Kluyveromyces lactis: one gene and its partners. The protein of the gene in region 5 purifies or fractionates together with the protein of the main gene of each other region. This does not show direct contact. Links are inferred from orthologs where the notes say so. Each region holds a gene or a part of one and is shown on either strand. Other genes may lie near its edges.

Evidence for each region.
Region 1: the proteins of TAF12 (region 5) and SGF73 purify together in Saccharomyces cerevisiae (affinity purification with mass spectrometry; 8 studies listed by BioGRID, with this or other methods). This does not show direct contact. The link is inferred for Kluyveromyces lactis from reciprocal best matches to the Saccharomyces cerevisiae genes TAF12 and SGF73.
Region 2: the proteins of TAF12 (region 5) and TAF1 purify together in Saccharomyces cerevisiae (affinity purification with mass spectrometry; 16 studies listed by BioGRID, with this or other methods). This does not show direct contact. The link is inferred for Kluyveromyces lactis from reciprocal best matches to the Saccharomyces cerevisiae genes TAF12 and TAF1.
Region 3: the proteins of TAF12 (region 5) and UBP8 purify together in Saccharomyces cerevisiae (affinity purification with mass spectrometry; 10 studies listed by BioGRID, with this or other methods). This does not show direct contact. The link is inferred for Kluyveromyces lactis from reciprocal best matches to the Saccharomyces cerevisiae genes TAF12 and UBP8.
Region 4: the proteins of TAF12 (region 5) and NGG1 purify together in Saccharomyces cerevisiae (affinity purification with mass spectrometry; 7 studies listed by BioGRID, with this or other methods). This does not show direct contact. The link is inferred for Kluyveromyces lactis from reciprocal best matches to the Saccharomyces cerevisiae genes TAF12 and NGG1.
Region 6: the proteins of TAF12 (region 5) and SGF29 purify together in Saccharomyces cerevisiae (affinity purification with mass spectrometry; 5 studies listed by BioGRID). This does not show direct contact. The link is inferred for Kluyveromyces lactis from reciprocal best matches to the Saccharomyces cerevisiae genes TAF12 and SGF29.
Region 7: the proteins of TAF12 (region 5) and TAF13 purify together in Saccharomyces cerevisiae (affinity purification with mass spectrometry; 6 studies listed by BioGRID). This does not show direct contact. The link is inferred for Kluyveromyces lactis from reciprocal best matches to the Saccharomyces cerevisiae genes TAF12 and TAF13.

Annotation. Positions count from the first base shown.
Region 1 is NC_006038.1:214,243-217,344, reverse strand, and holds SGF73 (deubiquitination module subunit SGF73), read left to right. Parts: upstream 1-1,126; coding exon 1,127-2,602; downstream 2,603-3,102. Other genes in the region: PGC1 (phosphatidylglycerol phospholipase), read left to right, coding at 1-551; ALG2 (GDP-Man:Man(1)GlcNAc(2)-PP-dolichol alpha-1,3-mannosyltransferase), read right to left, coding at 2,719-3,102. UniProt on the Saccharomyces cerevisiae protein: Component of the transcription coactivator SAGA complex. SAGA acts as a general cofactor required for essentially all RNA polymerase II transcription. At the promoters, SAGA is required for transcription pre-initiation complex (PIC) recruitment.
Region 2 is NC_006037.1:879,454-883,690, reverse strand, and holds the start of TAF1 (histone acetyltransferase), read left to right. Parts: upstream 1-1,437; coding exon 1,438-4,237. Other genes in the region: RNH70 (Rnh70p), read left to right, coding at 1-224; RTT102 (Rtt102p), read right to left, coding at 420-881. UniProt on the Saccharomyces cerevisiae protein: Functions as a component of the DNA-binding general transcription factor complex TFIID. Binding of TFIID to a promoter (with or without TATA element) is the initial step in pre-initiation complex (PIC) formation.
Region 3 is NC_006039.1:603,844-606,898, reverse strand, and holds UBP8 (ubiquitin-specific protease UBP8), read left to right. Parts: upstream 1-1,214; coding exon 1,215-2,555; downstream 2,556-3,055. Other genes in the region: KLLA0_C06996g (alpha/beta hydrolase), read right to left, coding at 1-469; PLP2 (Plp2p), read right to left, coding at 2,717-3,055. UniProt on the Saccharomyces cerevisiae protein: Histone deubiquitinating enzyme component of the transcription coactivator SAGA complex. SAGA acts as a general cofactor required for essentially all RNA polymerase II transcription.
Region 4 is NC_006040.1:1,523,460-1,527,166, forward strand, and holds NGG1 (histone acetyltransferase NGG1), read left to right. Parts: upstream 1-1,290; coding exon 1,291-3,207; downstream 3,208-3,707. Other genes in the region: RSM24 (mitochondrial 37S ribosomal protein mS35), read right to left, coding at 31-942; MAS1 (mitochondrial processing peptidase), read right to left, coding at 3,349-3,707. UniProt on the Saccharomyces cerevisiae protein: Component of the transcription coactivator SAGA complex. SAGA acts as a general cofactor required for essentially all RNA polymerase II transcription. At the promoters, SAGA is required for transcription pre-initiation complex (PIC) recruitment.
Region 5 is NC_006040.1:1,375,468-1,378,964, forward strand, and holds TAF12 (Taf12p), read left to right. Parts: upstream 1-1,461; coding exon 1,462-2,997; downstream 2,998-3,497. Other genes in the region: APC2 (anaphase promoting complex subunit 2), read right to left, coding at 1-71; NEDD8 ligase DCN1, read left to right, coding at 186-323, 413-1,180; snoRNA-binding rRNA-processing protein DIP2, read left to right, coding at 3,417-3,497. UniProt on the Saccharomyces cerevisiae protein: Functions as a component of both the DNA-binding general transcription initiation factor complex TFIID and the transcription coactivator SAGA complex.
Region 6 is NC_006042.1:1,140,852-1,143,475, reverse strand, and holds SGF29 (Sgf29p), read right to left. Parts: upstream 1,242-2,624; coding exon 501-1,241; downstream 1-500. Other genes in the region: MRP7 (mitochondrial 54S ribosomal protein bL27m), read left to right, coding at 1,871-2,624. UniProt on the Saccharomyces cerevisiae protein: Chromatin reader component of the transcription coactivator SAGA complex. SAGA acts as a general cofactor required for essentially all RNA polymerase II transcription.
Region 7 is NC_006040.1:863,634-865,842, forward strand, and holds TAF13 (Taf13p), read left to right. Parts: upstream 1-1,229; coding exon 1,230-1,709; downstream 1,710-2,209. Other genes in the region: ARG81 (Arg81p), read right to left, coding at 1-663; ERO1 (ER oxidoreductin), read right to left, coding at 2,047-2,209. UniProt on the Saccharomyces cerevisiae protein: Functions as a component of the DNA-binding general transcription factor complex TFIID. Binding of TFIID to a promoter (with or without TATA element) is the initial step in pre-initiation complex (PIC) formation.

The DNA of each region.
Region 1 (3,102 bases), on a different chromosome or scaffold from region 5:
GTTTGATGTTCGGATTGTGGCAACTTGATTGGTACAAATACGGGGTCACCACGGCCACACTGAAGGGTTTCAAGATCGTGGCCATCTTACCCTTCACAGCGATGGCTACTAAATTTGTCGAATACTCTAAATCCTTGAGCGATGACAACTACAAGTTGCATGGTGTCAGTCTTCATTTCATTAACTCTTGGAAACCCGATTTCAAGAAAACTGTATTACCATACTTGCAAGAAAACAACCTTGCCGTATACCTTTGGACCGTCAATTCCGAAATTGACATCAAATATATCAGTAGTATGACCATTACCGGGATTATCGTTGATGATCCGGTAGCTTCAGTGTCAATTCGAGATGAGTACATTCGGAAAGCAGTGCCGTTTGTACCGCCAATTTTCAATAGCTCTGAAGGTTTTAGACTATACCTTAGACTTCGGGTATTCGAAGTGGCTGAAAGGATCCTTAGCTCAAGATGGGCCACTGTCCCAGTATTCCATGATATCACCTTGTTGAAAGTAACCGTTTTATTGTTAAGAAGAATCCACTTCATTTAAATGTCATTTCATTTCGTAGACAATCTATATAACACACATACCATAGGAAGTTAATATCCTGAAATATGTTATATTTAGCTTGCAATTCGATTATCGACGGACCAATTGGTGTGTGGGGGATTGACACATTCCATTAAGTCATATCACGTGATTGTAAGAACTTTCAAGTTTCCCTTTCTGAAAGTCGACGATTTCGACAGGAATAACATACCGATGGACAGAAACATTTCATAAGATAATACATGAATTCAGATGCTTGAAAGTATTTAGAGCGGGTGATCCAAAGATTTTAAAAGGCTTTTGAGATAGTTCTAACGTGTTATTTACCTGCCACAAAAGTTACTTTTGTACAATCAATATTGAGGGCTCACTTCATACCAGATTCTTTTTTTTTAACGTGCTATTTTTACCATAGTTAGGCACCAATTTGCATTACCACCGATAGACTCTGGTTTATTTTTGAAAGCTAGGTAAGGACAGTTTGATCATTGTTAGCTTGTCTCAATTCATTCATCATTTCCATCGTAATTCTCCCTATCATTTTTTTTTTACCTGGCTGATTTTGGTACAAGAGCATGTCAAGTGTCAATATAGAGATTAAAGGAATCAGATCAGACATTCAATTAGAAGATTTAGGAAGTAGCAAGAACGGTTGGAAGGAGTTACTGTCTATTGTTAAGAATAACGGGAATAGTTCGGATTTATCATCCACGGATATTCGTTCAAAATACTTGAGCAGGCCGTCAGAAGTTTTATCTGGCGTTTCTAAAGAGGATATCCGTTATAGGAATTGTACAGCTTGCCACCAGCCGGTATTGGTGTCAGCTATTATAGATCATTTAGAGAATCACTGTATTGATAAAATGCCTGTGAAAAAGAATGAGACGCAGGATATCATGTCTTCTCCTGCTAAAAGTAAGGGGAGTAATAAGAGATCCTCGTCGATAGATCCTGAGAATTTCGATTCACCTTCAAAGAAACAGAAATCATCCACTCCTTCTGGATCGACTAGAAAACAAAGGAAGATAAAACAGCGAAACCCGACAGAGCCACATCTGGTTAACTTCGATAAACAGTGTGGTGTACCATTACCTGAAGGTGGTGTTTGCGGTAGATCATTAACATGTAAATCGCACTCAATGGGAGCGAAACGTGCAGTGGAGGGACGGTCACAGCCATTTGACATATTATTAGCTGATTATCAGAAACGCAACCAGTTGAAATCTTCGGCGTCCAAGACTAGAATCCAAAAGGCACAGCAAAATCAGCAGGATCCACAAGTTAAACAAAAGGGGAAAGATAAAAACACTGGGAAAACCAGCAGCAATGAAGTGGTCAATGAGTCATTACCCAAATTGTCCCCTGAAGAAGAGACTACTCTGGTTTTGAACGGTGTTTCACGTTCATACCCACTACCGTTAGAAACTACGGTATTGACTTCTACACGATCAAGAACCAAGTACGTCAGAATGAGAGAAATGTTTGGGTCTGCTTTCAGTATAAAACCAGGCTTTAAGAGCCCTGGAGTTGGTGCGTTCCGCTCAAGGGTCGGTCTTATTGACATTGATAGAACGACTGATTATACGTTCCGTATACGTACGCCTCAACCTATTAACGCATCACCTCAAAACTTGACACCAGAACAGCTTCAAATATTACAGGCCCAACGTTTGAAACAACAACAGCAGCAGCAGCAGCAACAACAGCAACAACAACAGCGGCAACGACAATCTAGTGCTACCGGATCGTTATCTCAAATGCAAATGCAAATTCCACAGTCAGTTCAGGCTGGAAAACCTGCAGGGCAACAACCCATGATGACCCAGGGCATCACCCCTCGGGATATTCAAACTCAACAGCTAATAATGCAACAACAGCAACAGAAACTCCTGCAGAAGAAAAGAATGGAAGACGCCAGTGCTCAACTAGATACGGCTTCTAAGTTGATGCAGCAAACAATAGGCTCACCGGTTAATACTCAAAGTCGAAGCAATTCAAATCAACCTGGTGTTCAATTTGGTGTAAATGGATATGGAGGAAGAGTTAATTAGTGTAATATTTAGAAACTTAATAGCTTGTTAACGTCTGTTTTTCATCTCTTAACTTTGAGGGGTATGTGTATATATTTTGCACAAGTCGTTATAATAAATTAAGATTGGCTTCGCTTTTAAGTTGAATAGTTTAGGTAACAGAAAACGATGATCCAGTACACAGTGGCCTTTACACTTCTTAATACAAAATAAGAAATCGCAGCTAGCAATAAATATGGCCAAGAAGCATCGCCTGTTATCAACAGTGTAGCATATTGGACAGTGAACATCAGTAGCCCTGGAGCTAATGTGCTCCATAAACGCGTTCCTCTTGACTTCCAAATAATATGGTCGATGGTATTATCAAAGTTTTTGGACATCGCTTCTCTGGAGAAATAGTACTTAATACGTTTAGGACCGTTAACTTCGAATAAGGAGTGATTCTTTTCAAATATGTCTACGGATTGATCCAACACTTTTGACCATTCATCAGCATCGGATGGTCGTAACCAACCAGTTGC
Region 2 (4,237 bases), on a different chromosome or scaffold from region 5:
ATGAAAATCTACCTTCATCAGCTATGCTACTAATCTGTTCAGGTACTGGTGATACAAGAGAATGGATCAAAATAATGAGTGAGTTGAACAAACTTGATAAGGAAGACCGTGCAGTGGAAAAATCCAAACGTGAAGCAGAAATACAGGCTTCGATTAAAACCGCTCGCGATGCCATCTCATTTATGACTATCAAAACCAACAACGTGAATAATGAAAGCCAATAGTTTTATATAGTAATGTCTCAAACGCACACATACGTCCTATGTGGAGAACAAAAGCGGTGATGGTTTTTCCTGCTTGCCCTCCTTTGGATGAAGGACTGTCTTTATCTTATTCGAGAGTGGGCGTCCAGGCCACATTCTGGATTCCATGAATCGTAGTAAAATTACAGTATATAGGTGTAATCGTTATATAATGAATCATTCCATCTTTACGTCGCCTTCTTGGTCTTTTACCTCTGCCGGTGTATCTTCAGCCGGAGTTTCTTCCGCTGGAGTTTCAACCACAGGAGTTTCAACAGCAGCTTCACTCTCGGCTTCTTTCTTAGCATCCGATCCTGAGAACCCAGGAATGTCAGAACCACCAACAGCTCCTCTTATATCGTTAATTGAGAGTGAATCTGGGCCACTTTTCTCCTGGACACGAGCATTTTTCTTAGCTATCTTCGTCCTATCAAATTCATCTAAGTTAAGAACATCTGTATCATCCTCAACTACATCTCTCAAAGGATGATCTTTTTTTACCCATTGCTTGAACTTATATTTTACCTTCTCATCAGTACCATTTTCATTTTGTTTAGCAGTAGTGGACCATTCGTATTCCCAATGCTTTGCATCGGTCGTGAAACCTCCAAGACGATTTGCCCTACTTATCAAAGACATTCTCACTTTCTGTTAAGTATATGGCTCAGTGTGTAAATTTGCTGAAATAATTGGCCGAGTTAGTCGATCTAACACCTAAAAGATTGTCGCATTGTACCTTTAGATCTCTGCTCGCACTGTTAAGCTTTAAGCTCTTGATGTTTGGCTTTAATTTCATGTTGGCAGAATTATCAACAAAAATTGACCTTAAATGGGATAAAATGGTCGATTAATAGGTCAGCGAACCACTTATTGAAACGAAAAGCCAGTAAATGAGATGAGTGCATGCTACACATTGCATATAACCTTGTTAATTCGAGTGAAGTGGCCAATCTGGGCCATGATAGTGGTTTATGTTACATGGATTGCACTGAAATTACGTTACCCGGTCTCTGGATTGATCCCTCAATATCAAAATCTAAACAAAGTTGAAGAGCTGATATGTACATTTCAGTAAAGAGTGCTCGAAGTCATAAAAAGGGTGGTTAAATAGGTTCATTCAACTCTGTGAGCCAATATTTCTGTCAATAACAGAATTCTAATCTGATTCCAGTCATAATACACCCATTTTTGCGAAATGCCTAGGGTTGCTGGAAGCTCAGGAAGCAAGAAACAAGGCAAGGCAAAGAAGGATTTCAGCAATGAAGATGATGCGTATAACGCTCTATTTGGTGGTGAGTTTGGGGCATTAGATATTAGTAATTATACTAGTGGTGGCGGCAATGGTAAGCAAGATGAAACAGAGCATCTGCCGAATGCTATTGATTTTGAAGATGAAGATGAATTGGCAGATGAAGAATTACCGGAGGAAGAAGAGCCATCCCATTCTCCGAACAGGCATAATGAAGGGTCGTTTCAGCGGAGTCTGACTGAAGACGACGAATATATGACTCTGATGGACCATGGTGATGTGATGCATGAAGTTGACGCTGCTGGATTTGAAGTACAAGGTAATAATGCATTGTTCATGGAGAGCACATATCAGTCATTTGGTCCAGAACAACACCAATTTAACGAATATGATGAGCAACACAGGAGGTTAATGGAGGAACAGCGAAGGAAACAAGAGGAACAAAATGCGAAGGAAGAACAGTTATTATTTCAGTCTTATTTCCCTGAGCTAAAGCCGGGTAGAGTCCTAAGAATGACCAAGATAGCTCCAAAACCGTTGGCGAAGTATCAATGGCAAAGGGAGTTATACCTTCGAAACAGAATTTTAAAACCTCTCATACCCATTAAAGTGAAGTTTCAAGTTCAAAAGGATACAAAAAAATTGTTCAAGATGAGGAGTAAAAGCGTAAAGCCTTGGCAAAGTGCTATAAGCGAGTTCTCTGAAGTTCAACGAAGAAATGTTATCAAAGTAGCATACGATGAGATATATAAAGAAGATACTGTAGATGACAAGAAAGATGAGCACGATGAAGTGATACCGGAAGATCTTCTCATTGTAGCTGATGAATGGGATTATGAGAAAATTGTTGACGATAGAGAAAATGAGGAGCCAATGACGAGTAACAAGAGGAATCCGCCAGCAGTTGAGAACACTTTAGAAGAAGATGGGAAAGACTGGGAATGGAACGAAGATGATATCATAAATGGTAAGGTGAGTGCTAAAGAACCGCCAATTGATATGAATGATGAGCGATTACTTATTTTGCCTAATGAGAATAAAATCGAATCGGCACAAAAGGTCGTTAAACCTCTAATACCATATAATGAGAAATCTCTACTAGCAAAGTTCAACATCTCTAACGATGACACTTACAAGATTTTGAAAAAGAACTATCAAAAAAAGATCAGATCTACAATTTCGAATTTGAATATAGAACATTCTCAACCGGCGACGCGCCTACAATCTCCATTCTACAAAGTTGTGTTACCAAAAGATCAGTTGAGACACTTTCATAGAAATCATTTCGGGAAACGGATTCGTCCTGGTACCAACATAGTGTTCAGTAAGATAAAGACCCGTAAGAGAAAGAAGGATAAAGGTAAGGATGTGCACGAAATTTTCCAACATTCTGCGGACTTGACTGTTGGTGACAGTGCTCAAGTGTTCCTGATGGAATACAGTGAACAGCAACCTGTTGCGTTATCTAAATTTGGTATGGCTAACAAGCTTATCAATTATTATAGAAAGACGGGAGAAACAGACAGCTCCAGACCAAAATTACCCGTTGGTGAGACTCATGTATTAGGTGTGCAGGATAAATCACCATTTTGGAATTTTGGTTTCGTCAGTCCAGGAAACATTGTTCCCACTTTATATAACAATATGGTCAGAGCCCCCGTTTTCAAACATGAGGTCTCTAAGACCGATTTCCTTCTGGTGAAAAGTCTTGGTAATGGGTCCGGTAACAGATTCTATTTGCGTCAAATTAATCATCTCTTTGCTGTCGGTCAAACGTTCCCAGTGGTCGAAGTTCCTGGTCCGAATTCTAGAAAGGTTACTGCTATGGGTAAGAACCGTTTGAGGATGGTTGTGTATCGTATTTTGAACAAATCTCCGGAAAACAGACTGTTAGTGAAACAGGTGGCTCGTCATTTCCCAGAACAAAATGATATGCAAAACAGACAAAGATTAAAGGAATTCATGAAGTATCAACGTGAAGGTGATGATCAAGGTTTCTGGAAACTAAAGGAGGGAGAAGTTTTACTGGATAACGAAAACGTGAAGAAAATGGTTACTCCTGAAGATGTTTCACTCGTTGAATCCATGTATTATGGTCAACAGTTCCAGGAAGATATTGATTTCTACAACTTCGATGAAAGAGCTAAGGAGTTGGAGGAGAACTTAATATTTTGGAATGCTACCAAGAATTTCTTGAATGCTACACAGATGAGAGCAATGATTCAAATACATGGACCTGGTGATCCTACTGGTTGTGGTGAAGGTTTTTCGTTTTTGAAAACCTCTATGAAGGGTGGGTTTGTAAAATCCGGTTCAAAGGATCAACCGCAAATTGCTGGTGGTCATAGTTACAATGTCGCGCAACAACAGAAAGCATATGAAGAAGAAATAAGTAGGACGTGGTATAACCAAGCCAAGTCTTTAAGCATTCAAAATCCCTTTGAAGAAATGGATGATCCAGATATCGTTAATGAAAGTAATAAGCATGTTCCCTCGACAAGACCTGACGAGAAAGTGTTACGGATTACTAGAAAGAAGAGAGATTCCAACGGTATCATTCAACGACAAACTGTTATAGTCAGAGACCCTAGGGTCATTCAAGGTTACTTACGTGCGTATGAAAAGAGGCGTGAAGAGGCGGAGCGTAATTTGGGTCTTGATGAATTGATCAACGATAACATAACCATTGTTGGCGGTGAGAACGAAGAGGAAAGGCAATTGAAGCAAAAGAAACTATTGGAAGAAC
Region 3 (3,055 bases), on a different chromosome or scaffold from region 5:
TAGGATGTTGGATGTACTGCTCTTGATAAATCTCAGGTCTGAACCTAAATCCGGAGAATGCAATGAAAAATTTAATAGCAGGCTGTTGTTCCTCCGTGAGGCCTAAAAGGTTATTGAAATCCGTCATCAAATATCCAGTGACACCTGCACCTTGACTAAACCCACAGATACCATCAAATGGTCCATTTTCGACAACGTACTCTTTCAAGAATTTCAAAGTCACGTCGGGCAATCTGTACTCCCCATGCAACGGATCCGGTTGAAGCCACGCGTGATAGTCATCCCCAGAAGCAGCGCCGATATCTGCAACATCGCTAGGAAGATCTGCTGGTGATAAATTAATTGGTGCTGTAGGGTAGAAGAACTCATATCCAAGTGGTTCTAAGACCCGACGAAAACCTTTCGTTTTCGATTCAAAATAAGGACCAGACTGGGCAAGCCCATGCAACATCAATACTTTCTTAGACATTTTTTAAAAACCCTAGAACTGTTTATCTACCTCACAGCCTGAAGCGGTGTTAAATCCAAATCCACTAATAATAGAAACCGGACATAAATACCTACCCATATACTACTCCCCTTCAGAATACTGGAACAGAATTGGAAAACGTTGATGAACTTTTTTTTTTTTTAAATTTTCCTTGCGATGAGCTCCCTCTCCCTCTCTCTCTTTCTCTGCGAATCGGATTATCTCCTAGAAATCTTCGTACGCAGCTGGTTTTTCCAGGTACCTCTCGAGAGAAAGAGTACAAAATGACTACATAAGGATGACTACGGGATACATGCTAATTTTGATACTCATAAAAAATAAAACTAATAATATATAAGAGATCCTGTAGACACCTCCACTCATTTGCCTGTATGGTTACAAACACCCCGGCTGATAGTAGTCTGTATATGACCACACTGAGCTCCCACAAGTATATACTATCTACCGTTTACTTATGTATCATTTCTTCCTTTTATTTTTCGCTTTTTCATTTTTTTGCTTGATTCTGGATCAAGTTTTTTCTGTTTAACTTTTCATTATATGAAATTCGCACTCTAACAGATGATGATCTAGTAATCAGATTCAGTTACAATTTTTGGGGAAACGGAGCAAAGTCTTTGTGCCTTAGTCATCCTCTAGCTCGAGCAGGGAACTTCAGCTAGATATTTTTCTGAAATTTCTCAGTGCTCGTGCGTGTGCTTGGCCAAAATTTTTTTTATTAGTTATGGTTTGTCCGCATATGAATCAAGTGGTTTCTAACCAAAAGCTTGGTGACGCAGTGTTGAAAGAATGCGAAACGGTACGATATCTGCTTCGCCACGCAGACTTCAAGAATAGAACTATGAGAACCATGAGATGTATGGATTGTGGTGAAATTAGCTGTGGATCGACTTTCATTTGCTTGCAATGCGGATTTTGCGGGTGCTGGAATAACAACCATTTCTTGGATCATTCTCAAAAATTGGGACACATCTTTGGGGTTAATTCATCAAATGGTCTAGTGTTCTGTTTCAGATGTGGTGATTTCATGGCTGATCTGGTCGCTGAAATTCCGGCTAGCCAATGGGATACTGTAATGGAAAAGACCGAGCTACCAGCTAGCTTACACAGAGATGGATTACAAGGTTTGGTGAACATGGGATCCACCTGTTTCATGAGTAGTATCATTCAAACCATCATACATAATCCATACTTTGTCGAGGACCTGTTATCTCATAAGCATTGCAACAATTGTGACATTAAATCAGGAACCAAGTGCGTCTCTTGTGCATTGGATGAAATTGCTTGTGACTTTTACGGGAATGGACCTGGGACAGGGAAGTCTTCCTCCGTTAGCAAAGGCTTTGTAAACCTTTTATCTGCATCATGGCATATCAATCATCATCTTGTTGGCTCGTCACAACAGGATGCACATGAGTACTGGCAGTTCTTATTGAACCAACTGCATACGGATCATGCACGAGTATTCGGATCGTCAAAGGCCCCTGATTGTCAATGTATCACGCATCGAATCTTCCAAGGATATCTTAAAAACACTTTACAGTGTTCTCAGTGTGGATTCTCAAAGACCACAATAGATCCAATCATGGACCTTTCCTTAGAGATCAAAAATAACCCTAAATTAGAAGATTGCTTAGATCACTTCCAAAGAGAGGAAACATTAACCGATTTTCACTACGAATGCCAAAGCTGTAAACAGAACCAGGGTGTGGTGAAACAGTTAACGTTGCATAAGGCTCCTAACGTATTAGTTATACAGTTGAAAAGATTCGAACATCAACTCAACGGTCAAAGCGCAAAATTAAATGATAGAGTACAGTTTCCATTGCATTTAAATCTAAAACCCCATTTATTCCAGATTGAAGATGAATATATTCCTAATATTGCATATGATCTACTAAATGTAGTCTCCCATCAGGGGACGGTTGATCAAGGTCATTATACCACGGTGAGTAAAACTGAAGATGGACAATGGTTTAAATTCAATGATTCTGTTGTCACTTCAGTAACGGAAGAGCAAGTATTGGAACAACAAGCATATCTACTTTTCTACATTATTCGTTGAATATGTTAAAAGAAGAAAAACTCCTAAATTGGTTTACTAGGTGGCTTCCGTATATATATGTCAGAAAAGAAACCCAAATAACATCACACCAATCGACGTGTTATTATTGCCTTTATATCTTTTTTTTCAATATACAGACCCATATATATATAGTATTCTATCTAATCGAAGAAATCATCATCATCATCATCATCTGCACCGTTGCGGCCATTTCTACCAACACCAACATTAAATTTGCCTTTGATACCTGATCTTATACTGTTATGACCGTATCTCTGTTTCTTTTCTTGTTTAGTATAATCATCTTCGTGGTTCATTAGCAATCTACCATCTTTCTCGTCTACTGCACCAATATCAACCATAAGTCTTTCAAAATCTTCCAATTTAGTATCTTTTCCACCAAGTTCGAGTAGTGTAACCAAATGTTTTACGACATCACCTTTGTAATAAACAATCAAAGTCGGACAGTTGTTATCTGGATAATTCTCTATTGCTCTATT
Region 4 (3,707 bases), about 150 kb from region 5:
CAGTTGTTTTTGTGTGTTTTAAAAGGTTGATCAAAGCTGTTTGTGTAATAGCTCAACAAGATCCACTGTTTTCCTTGGAGCATCTTGTGGACGTTTCCACTCTTCTGGGAACTCGTACCCACGCTTTTTCTTACGCAATTGTCTTGCGATGATATGTCTTTTATCGAGAGGAACATCAGCAAAGTCGTCTTTCAAATCTTTAGCCTCCTTGAGTAATTCTAGAAGAATGCTGTTTAAGTACTTTGCATTTTGAGCTGGTTCTTCATAGCGATCAGAAGACATTCTCAAAGTATCTGTAGTAGAATCATAACGTGTTTTTGCCAATAGACGCAGCTTATGCAGTTCCCTCTGTTCCAAGCCGAGATCCGATGTCTTCACAGATAAGACAACCTTACGAGAATTTGGATGTTCTTCACCAAGATATGTTGTATAACGATAAGCTACTGGATGAGTCTTTGTTGAAGGGCGTTTATATTCTTGACGATACTGCGCAAGTAAAGGAAGTTCAAATGCTGCCAAACGATTGTAGAAACGTTGTTCACGATGTTGATGAACTAAAATTTGTGATTGTGATGGCAAATCATCAAACTGATATTGATCCAAGTTGACATGCTCGTCTAGACCTCTTGCAATGCCCATTTCTGCCTCAACTTCTTCAGGTGTCTTATGATAGTACTCTTTGAAAAGTTTTGCTGGAATTCCAGACGCTTCGGCAGTGGGTAACAATGCTTTCAACTCTTCTTCGCAAGGCTTATATAGGGGCCCTAGTCTTGCCTTTCTTTCATTGTGCAACGTTATGATATCTTTACTATCCAAACCGATCCATTTCGATGGATCCTTGTAAAGTGTTGAGGAAATGGTCGCAACTTCTTTCGTAACGGTGGAGTTTAAACGTCTACTACAAAAGAATGCAGTACGTTGCACGCTAGCACCAGTAATCATTGTTGAGTGCCTAAGATGATTACGTTATCGCAGACCTTTTAACACTTTGAATATAATTGGCTTTCTCTGGTTCCGATTGGTGTTGTATCGAGGATTATTGGTATTTCTGGTAAACTTGGAAAATTTTTTGCAGAGAAAAGGCGGAGGTCACGTGATAATAAATTTTCTATGAAAATATCTGTCAAAGTAACGGAAGATAAACAACGAAGCAACAAACAGAACAAAGTCATTAATATTGCCAAAGCTGGAAAGCAGCCTATCTTTTAACGATAGTCAACAGTGGACAAAGGTGGAATCAAGTAGATTGCTAAACCAGATCTTCACTCAGTAAAACACCACTGGTATATTATGTCAAGGAATACGCGAAGAGGCAAAGGAATAAGAGAGCAGAAAAGAGATGACGCTGGGCTACATGAACCGTCGAATATTCTAAATTCGATGCTGAAGTCTTTAGACTTGACTTTTGAGAATGACATAGGTTTACTGAACGGTAAATACGTGAGGTCGGTTCCTGAGAAACCGGTTTTGCAAACAACTAAAGATCAACTAGAAAATCTAGGAAAATGTTTGGAGAAAATTGCAGCTAGTGATCAAGAGAATTTAGACCTAATCAAGGAAATGCGGGAAGATATAATAAGGCTCGAAGATGAGAAACAAAAAGAGAAGGAGGAAGCAGAAGCTGCAACAAACCTTGCAGCCCAGAACGCAGAAAATGATTCAATTAATAAAAAACTTGATGAATCTAGCGAAGTCGTATCGGATAAAAGATCAATTACAGAAGAGAACGAGGAGACAGACAAAAGGCCACAAGATACTATTGAAGAAGCGGAAGTTTTATCATCAGATGGTCACATATCAAAGAAAGCAAAGCTAGATATTGATAAAATGGAAAATGATCCTAACATTAGAAACCCCAAGTCTGAATTTGTAGTATCTCAAACGTTACCTGCTGCTGCAATGAGATTAGGTTTGTTTCAAGAGGAGGGTCTTGAAGCTACTGGTGAGGAATATTTGAAAAAGAAATACGGGGTAGTAAGCTATCCTACAAATGACTTAAAGGAACTTCTACCCGGTGAGCTGCCTGATATGGATTTCTCGAAACCTAAACCCACAAACCAAATTCAGTTTAATACTTTTCTCTCATCCATCGAGGCCTTTTACAGAGAATTCAATGATGACGATATCAAATTCCTTCAAAACAAATTCATCATGCCACAAAATTTGCAGTTTGTGAAATCTTATGACCCCGAAGTGACTCCATACACAATTCCTAAATTAGGACCACTATACACAGACGTGTGGTTGAAAGAAGACAATAATCAAAACATTGCGAATCTGACTCCTCCACCTATCAGTGATCCTATTAGTATCTTGCCTAAGAAATCAGGGAATGACATTTCGGATGGTGTACTTGACAATGAAGAAGTGTCTTGTGGCCCGCTAGTCTCAAGGCTTTTGAGTGCTATACTGAAGGATGATGATATTATAGCTCCTAAGGAAGAATTACCGACAAACCCCACACTCGATTCATCAGTATCAACACCAGTAAGTGAGCTTGAACATGTTACCCCATCATCCTCCTCGTCATACGGGATATTCAAACAACATGGAGCGATTGCAAACAATTCCAATATTGATTATGTTTCTTTTGAGGAACGCTTGAAAAGGGAATTAAAGTATGTTGGTATATATATGAATCTACCGAGAGAAGAAGGAAAAACACGTGAAGACCCGGATTGGTTGACCGGAAGGGAAGATGATGAGATTAGTGCTGAACTAAGAGAGCTGCAGAGTACACTACGTCAAGTGACTACTAAGAATACCAAAAGAAAGGCAATGCTTCTACCGTTATTGGAGAGGATGCTCGCATGGCAAGAGTACTGTACCATATTGGACAATCTTGATAAGCAAGTTGACCAAGCATATATCAAACGTATTCGTGCGCCGAAAAATAAGAAAAAGAGGCAATATACACCTGGGCCGGATTCATTAGCAACCGGATCAACATCTCAGGCAGCTATTCAGGCAGCTCACCAACAAGCCGCTAACTCGAGTCTAAAATCTTTGTTGGATAAGAGACAAAGATGGATAAGCAAGATTGGTCCTTTGTTTGACAAACCGGAAGTCATGAAGCGTATTCCAAGAGATAGCGTATTCAAGGATATAGACCAAGATGAGGAAGAAGAAGAAGCAGATGTGTTCAGCAATAATGCCAACGGGAAGGAAGAAGAATTAAATGAAACTCTACAAAATAAAGAAGAATAAATTGAAATAACTGACAGACTGGCGTCAAGCTGGTTTTTGGTGCTAGCTAGTGGAATTAGACCCTTTATTATATAGAATACGTGGAATAAATGTACCTGTCTATATTTGATGCAATTATGATTTATGATATTTACTTGTTACTTAGTTATTCATATTAGTCTGAATGTATGATAAAGATGGAACCGTTTTGACATTACCTAGAGCAACCATAGAGACAGGTTTATTGAGCAGCCTATAATTTGCCCACATTATAATGTCCTGCTTTGTGATTTTATTAACTTGTTCGAAAACCTCCTCTGGTGATAACCTTTTACCAGTCGTTACTACTTGTCTTCCAATATCTTCAGCTATTGCAGTCGATCCATCTAGAGAAAGAAGTAGAGAGGCTTTTAATCTTGCTTTCGCTCTGTTTACCTCATCGTCCGAGATACGTCCGGACCGAATTCTTTTCCACTCTTTTAAAATTTCGTCAATGATTAACTTTATATCGTGTTGTTGAG
Region 5 (3,497 bases):
TCTAAATTCGAAGCTAGGTTAAGTAGAATTTTCTCATGAAGTAATTTAAGTTCGTCATCAGTCTTAGTCATTCGGTCAACGGTGCTGGGTCCCTTTAGTCCTGCTTCTCATCACTTTTCACTATGACCATTACGTTTGTTGACATATTTTAAATATACAGACAAGTTCATTTTAAGTGAAATTACATGTTTTACTTCATATTCGTTTCGAGTTTTAGGGTAAAGAAGAAAGCAATCTACTCGCGACAAAACGCCAGAGCAAGCGATCATTTACTCGTGGATAACAACCCTTCAGAAATTTCATCGTATTGTGTTTTTATAATGGTATGTTTTTTACTATGCCTCTACCCTCTGGTCAGGTGAATGACACCTTTACTAACAAATGCTAATCAAATAATCATTTGGAAAAATAGGAGAAAGAGTTCATGAACCTCACAGGATGCACGTACTCTGTTGCACAGGAATACCTTCGAAAGAATGGAGGGCGTGTCGAGTACGCTTTGAACGATTATTATGATAATGTGGATACCATTGGAGGTATGCGTCAATCTTACAATCCCAGTTTAGTGGCTATCTTTGAGAAGTACTCGAATGGCGTTTCGGCAACAGAATGGGACTCTTCTGGGCTAATACGGTTTATTGAAGACCTCGGTATATCGATAGAGGACCCAATCACGCTATGTCTTTCTCAAATGCTATGCATCGACGATTTAACAAAACCAGTATCTCGAGAACAATTCCTAAATGCCTGGTCAGATTTATGTTGCGACACTTTAAGAAAGATGAAAGCCTATTTACATACGCTAGAAGAGAGACTGGAGACGGACAAAGATTATTTCAAATCAATCTATTCCTACACTTTCCCATTGAATACAGACGAGGGATCTCGTCATTTACCTAAAGATGTCGCAATAGAATACTGGAATATTTTCTTTAAAGACAATAAATATGCGTTGAAAATCTCCAAGGAGAGACTTAATTCATGGCTTGAATTCATCAATTCTGACGACTCGGATCCAAGGAAACAGAACATCTCAAACGATATATGGTTGATGTTCTATAAGTTCATTGAACAATACCCCAATGACGAAAGTTTAAAACAAAACTATGATGAAATGGCTGCTTGGCCGCTACTTATAGACGAATATTACGAATTCTTGGAAGAAAATGACAAGCTGTGATGCAGCGCAAACACCTATATCGCTTATGAACATATTCATAGATACATATATTCATATATACGCATTGTGTATGTTGTCAGGGTAACACTTGTCTTCCTATTCCTTTCAGCATCAAAATTCAAAAATATTTCAAAGATCAACAAGTGAATAACAATCGAAAGTAGTTGCCGCGAGGTTAAAGCAAGGGCAAAACGGGGGCAAAGAAGGCCAGCACGAGGGTATTTCGACACTTAAAGTGGGCTTGCGGTGTGCATTTCGGATTACGAACCAAGATACGGACAATGTCAGGCCAAGCAGGTAATGTACAGCTGCAGAACCTCACGCCAGCTTCTATGCAGCAATTGGCGGATAGACTAAAATCGTTAGTTAACGAAGCTAAGCGAATTGGTGTAGATACCAAGGAAGGGAAAGAGCTATTGAGACAAGCGGCCCGTATTAAGGCTTTGTACGAGGCTTACAGTAAACAGAGGCAGCAGCAGGCCCAAGCGCAGGCTGGAGCACAGGGAGCTGTAAATAATAATGCCACGAATGTTAAATCCATGGATCAGCAGCAACAGCAGCAGCAACAGCAGCAGCAACAACAAGCTACCGCCAGTTCCAATAATGTGACGAATAACATAAAGGTCTTATTAACTCCTCAACAGCGTGAAGCTTACAATAGATTGGTTCAAAAGTATGAGGATGACGGTCAGAATATCAAGGGAGAATTCAACTTTTTGAAGAGAAATATTAGTGTTTTGGACCAAGAGATCAGGAATAGACGAGGTAACAGTCTATCGGTGCAGCAATTAGAGGTTAACAGGAATGAATTATTAATGAAAATCAGGGCATTGAGTGCCCAGTATTCGACATTACAACAGAAATATCAAGAGGACAGAAGAAAGTTTTACATTGAGTGTTCTCAAACTAATGCTGACTTAAGAAGATATCTACAAGCACAGCAACAAAAAGCTAATGCTGCTAAGTCACAGGGTACAGTAGCTGCAAATGCAGGTACACCGGGACCTCAGGCTGGTGTTTCTACTCCAGGAACCAACACCGGTACACCAATTCCAACAAGTTTGAATAAAGCTTCGAGTGGTAGTCCTCCAAATGCTATGGCGCAAAGACAAAATATACCAATTCAAAAGACCGCTGCAACTACTGCAACTGCAACAAACGCAAACCCGAGCTCAGCAGCTGCCGCACCAAATAACACAGCTTCTGACAAATCGTCCCCAATGCAGGTGACAACGGTGAATGCAGCTGCAAATCAAACAGCACAAAGCAATACAAGACCACCAATCTTCAAGCAACCAAACCCATCGATACCAATAAGTGAAAATGTCACCGCATCCCCAACAGTTTCAGTGTCATACAGAAGCAACAGACCTACGATAACAGGCGGTAGTGGTATGAACGCGCCAGCGCTAACTACACCTGTTATGACCAAACTACCGCCATATGAGGTCGATACTGAGCGTGTGATGTCTAAAAGAAAGCTCCGTGAACTCGTCAAAACGGTGGGTATAGACGAAGGTGATGGTGAAACCACCATTGATGGTGATGTGGAAGAGCTATTACTCGATCTAGCAGACGATTTCATTACTAATGTTACGAATTTCGCCTGTAAATTGGCAAAACATAGAAAATCCGATTCACTCGACGTAAGAGACATCCAAATGCATCTGGAACGTAATTGGAATATCAGAATCCCAGGGTTTGCCAACGATGAAATCCGTAGCACCAAGAAATGGAATCCAACCCCTTCGTACAATCAAATGGTAAATGCAATCAATAACAATAAAACTGCACGTACACATCCCGAAAAGAAGTGAAATGGATAAATTACCACTGTTTAAACAAGTTCATTCATTCAAACAGACTTAATTTGATGCATATATTATACATCATATATCATATATCTATTAATGTAACAATTCCTCAAAATATTGAAAATGGAGAAGTGGATGAGTACCTACAACAATGCATAATCAAGTCCAGGGAAACTGATTCTTAATACTCTTTGTCCTATTCTGCCTGTCTCATATATGTATAAACCACCCTTTTCTTTTTCATGGCTTCAAGTTGTATTTTTCAAAATTTTCCAAAACGTTAAAAACTATGGAAGGTCATCTCATCTCATCGCATAATGCTGTTCAAGAACAAGTATAACAAAACTTATATACTATAACCCTGTGTAAGATATCAGTTATTGCTACTATTATCCGCAGTGTGGAGTTTAAATTGATACACAATGGTTAAATCGTATCAACGTTTTGAACAAAGTGGTCTTTTTGGGTTAATTTCTACTTCAAATCAGTCGATCTATCTTCCA
Region 6 (2,624 bases), on a different chromosome or scaffold from region 5:
TAGATGTACTTTGAAATGGTGACTTAAACTTGTTCATGTGGAACCTGAAGTCTCTCTGAATCAATATAATCAATCAACCTCCATACCCATTGTTCTACTATCGAATACTTCTGCCACCAAAAGATACATACATCTTTGTTCGCTGGGCAGGTGGTTAATATCCGGAATAATAAAGGCAAAATTGGAGCCTTCATCAGTTTTAGAACCAGATTCACTAACAATAGCACAAAACACAGTTTTGTTATTGATTTAAGTGTCACTTTGTTAAAAAGGTACACCATGAATCATATACAAAATATTCGACAATAAGAAACTAGAACTATGGTATTTAATGTCTGTCGCGTCTGATGCGATAAATCACAAACAGGCACCGCTACTAGTTCCTACATTATCTCAATGTGATACGGTTTATTTAATGTTCTTTCATAATTTTTTTTTCTTTATTGTTACAGGCTATGGAAAATTACATACATTTCGTGAACGTGATATAATTAAGAAACTCATCGTCTAGAGGGGAAAGGAAGAACTAATCTTCTTTCCACCTCAGTCTCCTTGTCTATTTCCTCTTCACCGTCGAATCGTAGCTTACATGTCCCATCTCTTTTGCTTCCGCAAACAATAGCTGGATAGAAAGTCGTTGTTTCTGGATATCTTGCCAAAACTTTTGTATTCGCTGGATAATTCGGAGTCTGGGTTCTTTTCATAGTCACGGGCGGGATCAAGAGGATCTCTTTCGAGTTACATTTGAATATACCACCTGGTTTCCCAAATTCATCGGGTTCTGGATCTTTCACTTCAAACCGGAGTCCGTCCCCAGAAACTTTTGTGCATATGCACTGGATCCATTCGCCAGTCTTTTTAGATTTATATGCAACTTCGGAACCAACCTCAATTGGTTCACTTGGGTTGAATTGACTGGTCCAATGTGATCTACCAACAACACTCGATTCAGGGATATGCGTCGAACTGGATTCCTCCTTTAATATAGGTTCCTCTTCCACTGGATAATTATCTAATATGTATGAAATGTTCTCTACCAAATCTCTGCAGTAATTTCTCATCTTTTCATTTACAGACTGACGAGCCTCTAATTTCTCATGGATATCAGCCAATTGATTCAAATTCATATTCTGGAAATTCATATTCTTCGGATCTAAAGACTCAAACCCCGCAATATCTCCTATTTTATATAGATCTTGTAATTGAGTCACGGCAAGACCCCATCTATCTTCCGTTGCCATTTTCGCTAGAATCACTGATATATTTTGTTTTATTTTTTTTTTATCTATGGGCTGTCGGTTCTTAGTATTCCTATTTCAATTAGATAATATGGGCTTCACCAGCACGATAATTAATTTGGGAAACTTCTATAAATGGACGTCCTGTTTATTCAAACGTAAATCTGAAAGGTGAAGACTTCTTTTCGATGCAAGCAGTGTCGGTTTCTTGATGTTTTGTACTTAGAGAAATATGAGTTTTTCGTGCTGGAAGAGAACATCAAAACGTATATAGTGATGGTAGATCTTTAATTGGAACCTCAGTTTCGAATAACTTTGACGTGAATTAGACGTTTACTCCTTCTCAAGCATGAAAAATTCACTATGGTATCGAAAGAACTCTCAGCAATAGATGAAATTGGTAAAATGTATAAATCAATACTTTCAACTCTTAAACAGTCAGTTACACGAACCTTCGAAGGGCTATATCTTGTTGGATTTCGTTGTTACCCTACCTTACAATCCGCCATACTGTGGAAAATTTTTGTCACTAAAATCCTATCTTAAATACATTAAGTACAGATACACGCAGAAATACAGTTACTGTGACATTGCTTGATACTGTTCGGACCAGGCCTACGAAACAACGCATAATGTTCTCATCTTCGTGGCAACAAGTTCCCAAGTTTGTGGTGCAGCAGGTGCGTACTGCAACCAAGCGTGCAGCAGGTTCTCGTACCAGTATGAAGGACTCTGCTGGTCGTAGATTGGGTCCAAAAAAATACGAGGGTCAAGCCACTCAAGTTGGTGAGATCATCATGAGACAACGTGGTACCAAGTTTTATCCTGGTGAAAATGTAGGCATCGGTAAAGATCATACGCTTTTCGCTTTGGAGCCGGGTTATGTGAGATACTATTTGGATCCATTTCATCCAGGTAAGAAATTCATTGGTGTATCATTATACAAGGATGTAAAGCTTCCTTTGCCGCATTTCGAACCACGTTTGAGAAGATTCGGCAAGGCCATCATTGAGGATGAAGAGAAAGCCATTGCAGAAGAGAACGCTTTACCAAGAAAGATTTATTTGCTGAAGGATGAATTGATCAAGAAACAGCAAGAACGTGAGATTAAACGTGAAGAGTTGAAGGCAGAATACAGCAAGATAATTTCAGATCTGAAAGTTGAGCTGGATCAACAAGAACTTGCGTTTGCATTACCATATTTGCTCAGATGGAGAACTTGTTTGAAGAATGGGTTCAATGAATCCGATGCCCGATTTAATTCGTACTACTATTTGGAACAAGAACTTAAATTGAAGATGAGAAACCAAGAAAAATCTAAGTTGGACGACAAACTAACATTGTTGAAACAGGTCTCGACCAAATTGAATGAATCATTGTCATTTA
Region 7 (2,209 bases), about 510 kb from region 5:
ATTTGAGATCCACTCGTTCCCAGGAAACAACAAAGAATTCATATCGAATTCGAATAGGGAATGAAGCTGCTGCGCAGATGTATGATCATCATTAGCAGATGATGATTCCATATCTTCTGGAGTGCATAAATTTGTGCCCTCTTTCGAATCTGAATCAGCAGTTTTAACCTTATTTTTCTTATTAGCTAGTTTCTTCTGAGCTTTTTCGATGGCATTAATGAAAACTTGATTCTTCTTACGTTTCTTCCGTGGCACGTACCTTTTTTTGACCTTATCTGTGCCTTTGAACACACCAAATTTCTTTATAATCCAAGTCTTGTCTTCAGAGATGAGCTCTAAAGGAGGAGAGCTTAACGCTGATAATTCATCGTCCATATCCTCATAATACACATATTCCTCTTTGTACCGAACGAAATCAACGTTTCTTCTCTGATACTGAGGCTCATCTGGATCTTTGATTCCTGTAGGTGTTGCGGTCACATTACCCATAGTGTCAAACTGAATTGGCCGGGTCCACCGAAGTTTTACATCGTATCCTCCACATATTAACCCACCTTTCTCACATCGCTCACATCCGGGCCGCCGAAGATCACACTTTACTTTCCTTGATCTACATGTCCAGCATCCCGTGAACGTCTTCACTCTGGGCTTCGCAGGCTTCATTCCTGCTTGTATCCTCTTTGACTCACAGTCGCTGTGAAGGAAAAATAGCCTCCAATATTTACCAAACCTTCAATATCAACCACACGCAGATGAGCGTCTAAATGATGCCACTGTTGGAACAATAATATCTACTAAAACCTTATCTTGAGCGGTACTAATCGGTTTATTATCATTGCTCTGTTTATCTGATCCTCAGAAGATGCGATGTGGATCTGTCATGTCCTTTCCTCTGTTCGTCTTTTCTCAAAATTTTCACACAAGCGGAAGGGTTAGGCGATTTGTCAATTTCTTTCTCGCTAAAAAGCTCCCTATATAGCTTAACTGTTGGATGGACTGCGCATGATATTTGGGGACAAAAAAACGCAAGCGATTTTTTGCTGCGAAAAAAAAAAAAGCAAACTCGCACTATTCTTCGCTGTGTTTAAGTTGACAGTTTGACATAAAACTCAGAACCAGAATCAAAATCACGAAACAATGATCAAGCTATACAGTTTAGCTTATAGCGCATTCGTCCATTCCATGGAGTAGAGCTGACTAGTCGGTTGGAGTTCTAGATCAACACAGGAATGTCCAGAAGAATTCGTAAAACAAGTCTTTTCAGTAAAGATGTTGGCTCTTTGATGTATGCGTTTGGTGATGTCGCGCAACCTTTACCAGAGACCATTCAATGTGTAGACGAATTGGTGGTGTCTTATTTGAGCGATATATGTGCCAATGCGTACTACTCGGCTCAAACCGTGAAGAGGAATAAGATTAAAGTGGAAGATTTCAGATTTGTACTTCGAAAGGACGAGGTGAAATTAGGTAGAGCTGAAGAGTTGATTAAGATGAATAAAGTTATTACCGATGCCAGGAAACAATTTGATAATTCAGAGGGGAAATCTTTGAAACGAGTGAAAGATGACGGTGATGATGACCACATTTCGGCTGATGAAGATGAGGAGACGACAACGGTTCCTGAACCCGTTCCTACCTCACGTCCGGTAGGCAGACCAAGGAAAAAGGGAAATGAACCTCCTAAGAAGAAGAAACGGGAAACAAGCTGAGAGTTACATTCGCATTACCCCTAGCATATCTGTACTTGAAATCCTTCTCTTGCTGGGCAAAAGAAGTGAAAAAACAAAGCAATCCTCATATAAATTCTATCATTATAGTATTACGCCTTTCTGAACAAAATGCCATATTTATGCATACTTAGCGGCAACATATACGTTTATTTTTTCTATTAGCTATATATTAACCAAATGAATAGCTTATGAGAGGGTATTATTTGAACATAATCACCTTTATCTTCATAATTGGAATTTTCAGCTGGTTCTCCTGTAGTTCTTAATATCTATAAACAAATTGTCATATAAAATGACAATTTGAGAGGTTTTTAATCTATTCTTCGTAGTTGTAGGATGGATATTCAAGCTCCTCTCCTTCTTCGAGATAGTTTGGAACACCAATAAACTTGTTCCAGAGTTTATTGAGCTTTAGTACAGTGTACTTACTAACAGTGGAAGGTAGGTCCGTATAACTTGTTACGATAAACCGCAACGCT